Linked DNA regions of Callithrix jacchus. The protein of the gene in region 2 purifies or fractionates together with the protein of the main gene of each other region. This does not show direct contact. Links are inferred from orthologs where the notes say so. Each region holds a gene or a part of one and is shown on either strand. Other genes may lie near its edges.

Region 1 (4,992 bases), on a different chromosome or scaffold from region 2:
ATTCTTAAACAACTAATTCCATTTTCTAAAAATCTACCTAAGGAATAGGACCAAAAATTAAGTAAATTACTAATTCACAAAAATATTCATCATGGTATTAAAAAATGCATAAAATTGAGAGATTTGCACAAGTGATATATGATGATATAATTCCACAAAAATAATTTCAATTATTTTTAATTATGGGAGGGTAAGGCAGGAATATCATTTGAGCCCAGAAGTTCAAGGCTGCAGTGAGCTCTGATCATACCACTGCACTCCAGCCTGGGCAACAGGGTGAAACTATGTCTCTGAACAATACATAAATGAATGAATAACAAAACATGAAAATAACTATTAATTATATGGGGAAATGCTCATGATATGACACAGTTTAAAGGCAGAGAACAATGCTATACAAGCAAAATTATCTCAACTTTTATTAATTATATTACTGAAAATAAGTATTCATTTTCCTACAATATATGCCAAATAAGAGGCACTATTTTATATATACACTTTTTATATACATAAATCTAATTAACCACATCAGCTAAATCACATTCCCAGTTTACAGATGGGAAAACTGAAGCTCAGAAATGTTAAATAAGTTGGCAACATACACAAAGTCAAAAGAAGAGCTGAGATTCCAACATGGCTCTAAAGCCTTTAAGACCGTGAAGGCTGGCCAAGCACAATGGCTCACACCTACAATCCTAGCACTTTGGGAAGCCAAGGCAGGTGGATCACCTGACGTCAGGAGTTCTAGACCAGCCTGGCCGACCGGGTTAAAAAAAAAAAAACCCATCTCTACTAAAAATACAAAATTAGCTAGGGTGGTGGCACACGCCTGTGATCTCAGCTACTCAGGAGGCTGACGCATGAGAATTGCTTAAACTCAGGAGGCGAGGTTCCAGTGAGCCGAGATCATGCCACTGCACTTTAGCCTGGGCAACATAGCGAGATTCCATCTCAAATAAAAAATAAATAAATAAAGAAGTAAAGAAAAGACCTCAAAGCCTTTGATACAGTGTATCACTTTCTAGCACTCATACATAAAAGATAATAATTAGGAAGAAATCTACAAACTGTTTAAAAATGTTTCTCTTAAGAGTTTGCTTTATACTTTATTTTCCATATTTCTAGAATGTACATGTATTCACTGTCATATTAGGAAAAAAATTAAGCTTTTCACAGTTTTCATTCACTCTGTCTCTCACTCTGCTATATTTGAGAAGTGGCATCTTTTCTCTAGCACAGCATCCAGCTCCTAGGACGTCAGTGCCACATTTCACTCCTTTCTGACCTTCAATCCAGTTGTCCACTCATTTCCCACATGGTACAGCATATCTACCCTCTTCCCTTCTGTGTGTGTGTTAAGCAAACCTACCCTCTTTGCATTGTATTTCATTTAAGAAACGCTTATTAAGTTAACATGTGCTACACACTGTGCTGGGAACTGAGGAATAACAAAGTATCAGGTACATTCTCGGCCTCAAGGAGTTGAAAGTCCAGGCTTGATGACAAGCTCCTATGACAAGACCCCATGACTCAACCAATGTCTTTCAACTTCTAACATCTGAAGGTAATAGGAAGCCCCTGTAAACAGTCATGGCTGTGCTTCGTGAGTAAAAACAACCTGTTGACGAAACAAGAGAAGAGCTACTCTAGTAACCTTGGCAGAGCTCTGTCCAGGGCCTAGCAATATAAACTGGAAAACCACTAGAGTGCTTCAACATGTGGAAAATGTGCCAACTGTCAAACACCTAACCGCATCATGAGGCTGACGTAGTGGGTCACCAGTAATTTAAATACACATGAAGGCATAAACACTTCAGGCTCTGGAAGAAAAATGCAAGTGACACTGAATATGACTGAAGAAGCAAATGCATTTGCCCGCATAAACATCACGTTCCCCATTTTAATACAAATGTGGCCGCATCACAACAGAGAAAAGCCATGGAGAGCAAAGGCTCCAACCTCTAGGGCTTCGTTGACAGCGTCCATCTTCTCAGGCAGGACCTCTGTGTTCTTCATCCGCTCTTCCAAAGTGTTTAACCAGGTGGTTTCAAGATCCAGATAGTGAAGCAGCTCAATCCAACAAGACCAGACCTCCTAAAGCGTGAAAAGTTTAAATCAGATGAAAAGCCATTTCACACATGATATCTCTAGTGCTACGCATTCTCTTTAATCACCAATAATGTCATTTGGATGTAGGAATTCAGAAACTGTTGGAGTTGAAACTTCAAATAAAAAAATAAAATAAAATAATCCAAAAAATCATGTCAGACCAATTGGGGAGAGGTGGGGAGCAAAGAGGAGTGGGCAAGAGGCTGCCTCACCCTTCACCTTAAGATAAATTCCACGATCTCATTTAAATGTCAAAAATACAACTATATAATTAGTAGCCTCATCCTTTACCTTAAAATAAATTCCATGATCTCATTTAAATGTCAAAAATACAACTATATAATTAGTAGGAAAAACAGGAGAGAAACATTATTTAGTTTGTTTTTTTGGAGGCCAGGTGCAGTGGCTCTACAACTGTAGTCCCAGCATTTTGGGAGGCTGAAGCGGGCAGATCACCTGAGGTCAGGAGTTTGAGACCAGTCTGGTCAACATGGTGAAATCCCATCTCTACTAAAAATACAAAAATTAGCCAGGGTGGTGGCAGGCGGCTGTAATCCCAGCTACTTAGGAGGCTGAGGAAGGAGAATCAGTTGAACCCAGGAGATGAAGGTTGCAGTGAGTCTAGACCACGCCACTGCCCTCCAGCCTGGGCAACAAGAGTGAAACTCCATTGAAAAACAAAAAATTTTGTTTTTTGAACAGAAGGAAAAAATTGCTCCAGATAGTAAAATTTTTAAAAAAATAATTTCATAGAAAATTGAAATCCCCTGGGCCCCACCCAGTTCCCACTCAGAGCTAACTGATGTAAAAGTTTGCAGGGTAGCCTTCCCAATATTTTTCTAAATTCATGAAGACCTGTCTATATAAGAAGAGAGCCACATTTTATCAAAACTGGAGTTACACTATTCTTGCTATGTTGGTTTTGATCACTCATTCCCCTCTAAGGTTTCCAGAGCAGGTACCCGGGGGTTGTGTAGGGAATAGATACATTTATAAATTCATAATCCCTTATTACAAGAGGAAGTTATTTGAGTGGCAAGTTTAGGAGAAAGAACTTCACTGGATGCCTCCGGGGCTCGTTCGCTTTTGGATGTACTGAATGAGTGAAGGCTTCTGCTGGTCCACACTCCATATGAAGTATGCTTACCAGATCAGGAAGCAGTACGTTTTTCTACAAAGGGCTAGATAGTAAATATTTTAGGTTTTGGGGGATACACTTGGTTCCCATCACAGATTCTTCTTGGAGGTGGGGTGTGTGTTGTACAACCCTTGAGAAATATATAAACCATTCTTAATTAACCAGGTATCCAAAAACAAACTACAACTTAGATTTAAACCCCTCAGCCAGTCCAGGTGCAGTGGCTCATGCCTATAATCCCAGCACTTTGGTAAGCCAAGGCAGAAAGATGGCTTGAGCCCAAGAGTTCAAGACCAGCCTGGGCAACATAGTGAGACCCCTATCTCGACACAAAAAAATAAATAAAAATAATTATCTGGTGTGGCATTGCAAGCCTGTAGTCATAGCTAACTCAGGAAGCAGGGGCAGGAGAGTCACTTGAGCCCAGGAGTCTGAGGTTTCAGTGAGCTGTGATCACACCACTGCACCCCAGCACAGGTGACAGAGCAAAACCCTGTCTTAAAACAAAACAAAATGAAAAAAAAATCCCTCAGCCATAATTTGCCAATCCCTGAGTTAAAATAAAAGAAAAAATAATTTCTAGTCCCCCATTTCTACAAGAAAAAGAAAATCTGCTCAGATGCAAGCATGACCTCTTTTCTTATGGGAAAGAGAAGACGACTTAAAGAAGACCACTCCCAAGAAGCAGGCTGACCCAGAATCAAGTATCTTTCTTACTAACTAGCCTCAATGATACATACTTATCTTAGCACAAAATTAGTTTAGAACAAGCACTGAATGAATTCGTTCATAAATGAATGAATGATCAGTATTTAGGTTAAATATTACAGTTGCCATTTTTTACCATTACAGGATTTACCACAATACAATAATTTGTTTTATGTAGAATTGAATGTAAATTAAATTGTAAATTGAAAGGCCTCTTAAATCTTCCAACAAGCAATAACAAAAGTCATACTACTATAAAAACAAACAAGCAAAAACTTGATCTTAGTTTTTAAAAATTTCACAGAATCATCTACATTTTACATATAATGGCCAGGGAGGGGGAAAAAGGTATTTCATCTAAGGCCCAGTAAAATAGTAGCATATATAAGTTCTATTTTTCCTTCAGATGACTCCTGTACTTTAGACAGCACTCAAAAGAAAATAATTCCTCCCTGTATACTCAACCAGGCAAAACGAAAGAGATGTTTGCAATGTGCTCTGCAATTTTTGGACTGGAACCGGCCCCACAGATCATCTGTTACATGAAAACCTTGATTGCACATGCAAAAAAAAGTCAAGTCTGAAGATACAAAATGACTTGCCCAAGACCCTTTTGATAATTAGGGACAGATTTTGTTCTCCTGTTTTCAACCCCTCTTTCATTTTTATCAACCTATTCCCCCAGATCTATTTTTCCTTTATGATCCAGAATTTGAAATAAAAAAGTTTTCTCCAAGATTTGAAAATGGCCAGAACATTACGGAGTTTGGATCTCAGAAATACATCACAGAAAGAAAAAAAGTAACATACCTCTAGAGTGTGACACTTTCCTCGAATTCTATTACAAAGAAGTTGGTAATTCTCCAGCACGACATTCAGCTCAGACGTCAACTCCTGGCCACCAGAGGGCACCTTGGCAGCTAATAACTTGATGTTGTCCTTGAGAATCTTCACTCTCACCTCTTTCTGCAACACATCCTCTTTTGCCCTCTGTTCCAAGAAAGGATGGATGAACTTGAACAATGTCTCCTTTCTCA
Region 2 (5,560 bases):
CCCTGATTCTGCTCCTATGGCACATGGCCCTGACTAGGATTCCTCCAGCAGGCTTCTCTCACCTGCTGCCTCCAGAGGGGCTGAAAGTCCCCTCACCTGGAACAGGTCCCCAGGCATCCTCAGACCTTCACTGGTCTCACACTCCCCACCCAAACCCAGCAAGGAGGTGCAGAAGCAGTGAGTGCGGTGAGGGGTGGGGTGGTCCAGCTCCACTGTGCCTGTGAGTCCTCCCATCCTGTGGCACACGCACCTCGGAAGGGAGGCAGGGATGGCGTCCCTATGAGCCAGTCCGCAGGGAAGAAGTAGCTCACTCTGGGAGGGTTGGGAAGGCATCACCAGACCCTCTTAGACCTCCTCCCGCCTGGAACATTTCAGAGCCTGTCAACCTCTCCCCCAGGCGGGCCCCCTCTTTCTCCGAAGTCGTGGGTTTGTTTGGAGAAACCCCTCCACCCACACCCCTCTTCCTGGAAATAGCTGTGGTTGGAAGGGAGGCTGGGCCTCATCCCTCCTCTGGCTGCCGCGGAGGAGGGGTGAGGCCCGGGAAGGAGCGAGGGAGGGCGGTGGCTCTGGGGGTGCGCCCACAGGGGTCTGGAGGATGGCGGCCGCAGAACGGGGCTGGCGAGTCGAATTAGCCTCCTCTGTGCCCGCTTACGGCCTCAGTGTCCCACATGTGAAGTAGGAAAGGAAAATGCTCGCCCGCACCCAGCCAGGCCGGGGCCCGAGCGCCGCTGCCAGCTACTGCCGGGTCCCGGGCCTGTGTGTGTGGCTCGGCGTGCGGCCCCGTGCGCCCGGGGCGCTGGCAGGCGTGGCGGCACGACCGAGTAGGTCCGAGGCGGCGCCCCGCCCCCTGATCACTGCCCCGACCTCCCGCCGCTCCCAGCTTGCCGCGGCCTGCCAGAGCCCCCAGCCCCAGCCCTGAATCGCGCCCCGCGCCCCCTCGACCTCCGGCGCCCCCTGGCGCCCGCCCCTCGCACTGCCAGCGCGGCCGTGACGCAGAGGCCGCCGTCCGCCCAGCGCGGCGCGGCCACTCACCTGCGGGGGGCGCCCGGCGGGGCGGGGGCGCGGCGGGGCGGGGCAGCAGCAGGGGGAGCCCCCGGGCCAGCCCATCCCGTCCGGGCCCGCGCGGAGCAGATGCGAAGGAGGCAGCGGCGGGAGCCGGCGGCCGCGCTCGGCTGCGCTCCCTACCGCCCCCACCGCGCCCCGCGCCCGCCGCCGCCGCCCGCTCCTCCTCCTCCTCCTCCTCCTCCTCCTCCTCCCCCCTCCCGGCTCCAATCCCCACGTTCCGCCGGCTCCCCGCCCCTCGGCTTCCTTTTCTCCCCACCTTCTCCCGCGAACCCTCACTCACAAAGAGCCGAGGGGAGAGAGGGTGCACAGACTGCCAGCGGGGCAGCGCCGGGGACACACTGGAGACAGGAGGAGGCTAAGAGAGGGGGAGAGAATTGGAGAGAAACGGCCGCGGAGGACACGGGGACGGGAAAGTCTCAGAGACGGGGAGAGCCTGACCCGGCGGGACACAGGCAAAAAGAAACACGCGAGCCAGACAGACGCACAAGAAACGGTGTGCATAGGTCCAGAAGGGACTAGGAAACAGGGGACAGGGGACTGCCAGCCTCTCACCCTCCCCACAGGAGTGTGTCTGGGCTTGGGCCTGACCTGAGAGGACCACCCGCGGCCTGGCCTGGTGGTGCTAGCGTCCCCTACCCAGGCGGGCACGTGAATCAGGTGAAGCCACCTGGTGTTACTTTTGGCTTAAGTCGCTGGACACCCTTCCCTCTTCCCAAAGGATTCACAGCTGAGGACCTCTCCATCAGGCTCAAGCCCCCATCTCCACCTGCAAGCAGCTTCAGCCATCCCATCCACTGCCCTGCTTTATTCATTCATTGAGACAAGAGTCTCTCTCTGTCTCCCAGGCCGGAGTGCAGTGACGTGCGATCTCCGCTCACTGCCTCCAAGGCTCAAGCGATCCTCCCACCTCAGTCTCCCTAGTAGTTGGGACTACAAACGGGCGCCATCATGCACAACTAGTTTTTGTAGAGCCGGGGTTTCGCCATGCCCAGGCTGGTCTCCAACTCTTGAACTCAAGCAATTACCCCGCCTTGGCCTCCCAAAGTGCTGGGATTACAGACGTGAGCCACCGTGCCCAGCCCTTGCCCTGTTTTGAAAGAGCTGGACCATCATTTTTACTCCATAGACCTCTGAGAAGGTCTTCCTTACATTTAACTTGAATCCAGTCTTTCCAAGTGGATATGGAAGTTCTTTCTGTGGTCTAACCTCATTCCCTGCTTTTGCAGTGCCTGGTACTTGATAGGAACTTCATGTAATGGAGTGAATGGGCTCTAGGGCAGGTTTGAGTGGTGCCACCCTGGAAGGGAAGGTAGGGACAGAGTAGGGGACATCTTCCTAGAAGCTCTGAACCTATTGCCATTCCTGCATTCTCCTACATCCTTTAGCAGTGAGCACTTCCTGAAACTTTCTCCCTCCTTCACCCTCCCCGCTGGATTTTCCATGATGAAAAGGGGCGGGGGAAAGGATGTTGGGATTCTGAGAACCTAGTGCCCAGGGCTCAATGCCCAGTGCCTGCTCAAAGCAGCCAGTACCACTGGCTCTAAGACCTCCTTTCCCTCCTTGTCTCATCTCAACTGGGTCCTTTCTGTGCTCATCTTGTCTTTGGCAAAGGCTGGGAAGTCTGGTTCTCATTTCCGGGGGGTGGGGCACCTGACAGGGAAGAAGAGTCTGTGAAACAGTGCATGATGACAGTATGTGTCCCCCGATATCCAGAGATTGGCATTTGGGCGGGTGGATATGGTTGGGACTGGGGAGCGTTGATCTTACTGATCTTGGTTGAGTTGGTGTCCAGTAGGCAGTTTCAGAGGTTAGGGCAGTGGGAGTCACTGGGGACTGGGGACAGGAGAGGTGGGGGTGGGGGAATACCGAGGAGAGTGGCAGGGATTGGAGGCTCCCGGAGAAAGGGCAGGGCTGGAGGTTGTCCTATGTATTTTGGCAAGATATGTAATTGAGATACGTAAGATAATGAAATGTGTTCATGTCTTTGGAGCTGTCAACCAGCTCTTTTAACATCTTGCTCTTCCCAGCATTCCTTAGGCTCTTTGGCTGGGTGGGCCCTGGGATGGGTGCCGTGGGGTACCTTTACCTAAGCTCTAAAGTTACCAGTAGAGAGACTGGGACTCAGAGGAATTTGATGGGACCCCAGAGAGGTGAGGGGTAAGGGCTAGAACCTCACACTCATGCTGGTTTTGCTGCCTTCCTGGGAGGAACTTTTGAGGTTCCAAGGAACTGGAAAAGGGTCACAAGATGGGTGGCTGAACTCCCAGCTCAGGCTGGATTCCTACTCCCAGCATGGGGATACAGGGGAAGGGGACTGCAGGAAGGAGGCTGATGAGAAAGGCTGAGAATGAGAAGTTATGCAGGAGGTAGCTCTGTGGGCGTGAAACAAAAATGAGTGGTTCGCAGAACCAGCCACGCATCCTGATTTCCAGCTCACAGCAGCAGGAGCTTCAGGGAGGAAGAAGAAGGGATGGAGGAAGCCAGGTTGGTGTTAATAAAGGTCAAACAATTTCAGGAACACCCCTGACCTCCCTCCACACAGGTTTTCTTACCTTGACTATGCAGAGGGTGGTCCATCTTGGCATTGAAGGTGGAACCCCCTCTTCCACGGTCTGGGGTGACCCCATGCCTGCAACCAAGTGTGCTCAGATCCTTGGGGTGCAGGGGATTATATAGGGCGTGGATTTAAAGGTGTGGGGCTGTCCTGGCTGGAGACCACTGGGTCAGGAGAACTCTAGTAGAGGGTTTGGGTGCTGGGAACCAGGAAGAGCAGGGGAAGGGGCAGAGCCAACTCCAGAGGCGGATCTCCTGGCTGAGGACAGAGGCTTTATTGTCCAAGCTGGAGGTTGCTGCAGCTGGGCGGGGAGCAGCAGAGCTCCGTCTCTTCCAAATTTCTTTTGGGGGAGGGTAAGGGAAGGCAAGCCGCCCCCCCTTCGCTTGTGGCCCTTGGGGCTACCATGGTTGCTGAGAAACGAGGCTTATTTGACAAATAATGCTTCCCAGGAGCAGATGTGTAGCTCTCTCACTTCCTGAGAAACCAGATGCTGTGAGCTTGCTTAGCACTTGAGGTGACGCCCTCAGCACAAACTGGGACCCTCAGTGCCTTGGGATCCAGCGTATAGTGCTTGATTCTGTTTAGAAGAAACTAGGCTAATGTGGACTCAGATACAAACGGGACCTAACCAGCCTAAAGTTGGGCCTTGTGAAGTAGGATACTGCATCTGCACTTTCCTACTTGTCCAGTAGTTCAGGATTTACAAGATTGGCAATGAGTCCTGAGTCCATTTCTGCAGCTGCGCTTCTGGGTGGATCCATACTTTTTTTTTTTTCTTTTTTGACAGAGTCCTACTCTGTTGCCCAGGCTGGAGTGCAGTGGTGCGATAACAGCTCACTGCAGCCTTGACCTTCTAGGTTCAAGCGATCCTTCCTCCCAAGAGGCTGGGACTATAACACCGTGCCTGGCTAATTTTTCTATTTTTTGTAGAGACAGGGTTTCACCGTATTGCCTTGACTGGTCTCAAACGACCCTCCTGCCTCATCCTCCCGAAGTGCCGGGATTACAGACATGAGCAACCATGCACACGGGACACACATTTTTTTTTTGAGATGGAGTCTCGCTCTGTCACCTAGGCCGGAGTGCAGTGATCTCGGCTCACTGCAACCTCTGCCTCCAGGGTTCAAGCGATTCTTCAGCCTCAGCCTCCCAAGTAACTGGGTCTCTAGGTGCGCACCACCACACCTGGCTAATTTTTCTATGTTGTACACACTGAGTTTCACCATATTGGCCAGGCTGGTCTTGAACTCCTGACCTCATAATCTGCCTGCTTCAGCCTCCTAAAGTGCTGGGATTACAGGTGTGAGCCACTGTGCCTGGCCATACTCATCTTTTTAAATGAGGATGTGGTCATATTAGAGGCCAGGTTTTCTCTGATTTTAAAGTACCTTTTGGGACACAGGGCCTTCCTCTACCCTTTCTGTACACAACCATCATAAATCTCTTTCAACAAGTCTTTCCTATTTTTATGTTCCTTCTTTCCCATCATTTACCTAGACCTCAGTACTGCACAGCTAAGAAACGAAGACTTGGAGAATGTGAGTGAAACTGATTCCTGTGGAGATGCAGTGAACAAGCATTACCTTGTAGGTTCCCCAGGCACCCTGGGCAACAGGGGCATCTAAAGCCACATTGAAAAGCCTTTACATTATCACAGCTCACTGAGTCTCATATCCCTCAACTTTGCCAATTTTGGAGAACAGAGATAAATTCACTGGCCAGAAAATAGAAAAGCAGCTGCTCCAATTGGCTGGGAAATGCCATTTGTGTTAACTCCTTCCTCCTCTTGGCTCTTAAATCCCCAAATTGTTGACTGAGGTTTCCCAGCCTCCTTTCTAAGTTCCACCTCCTTGTGACCTTAGTAGGGATTCTCTCACTGTCCTAACCCCTTTCCTGCCTTGCAACAATGACCAGTCTGTCCCTAGCTGTTTGGAAAATTCC

Evidence for each region.
Region 1: the proteins of TNS2 (region 2) and UTRN purify together in Homo sapiens (affinity purification with mass spectrometry; 4 studies listed by BioGRID and IntAct, with this or other methods). This does not show direct contact. The link is inferred for Callithrix jacchus from reciprocal best matches to the Homo sapiens genes TNS2 and UTRN.

The regions. Positions count from the first base shown.
Region 1 is NC_133505.1:151,249,357-151,254,348, reverse strand, and holds part of UTRN (utrophin), read right to left. Parts: intron 4,946-4,992; coding exon 4,766-4,945; intron 2,095-4,765; coding exon 1,960-2,094; intron 1-1,959.
Region 2 is NC_133510.1:66,517,770-66,523,329, forward strand, and holds the start of TNS2 (tensin-2), read right to left. Parts: upstream 3,867-5,560; 5' UTR 3,693-3,866; coding exon 3,618-3,692; intron 1,205-3,617; exon of another isoform or gene 1,108-1,204; coding exon of another isoform or gene 1,033-1,107; intron 1-1,032. UniProt on the Homo sapiens protein: Tyrosine-protein phosphatase which regulates cell motility, proliferation and muscle-response to insulin. Phosphatase activity is mediated by binding to phosphatidylinositol-3,4,5-triphosphate (PtdIns(3,4,5)P3) via the SH2 domain.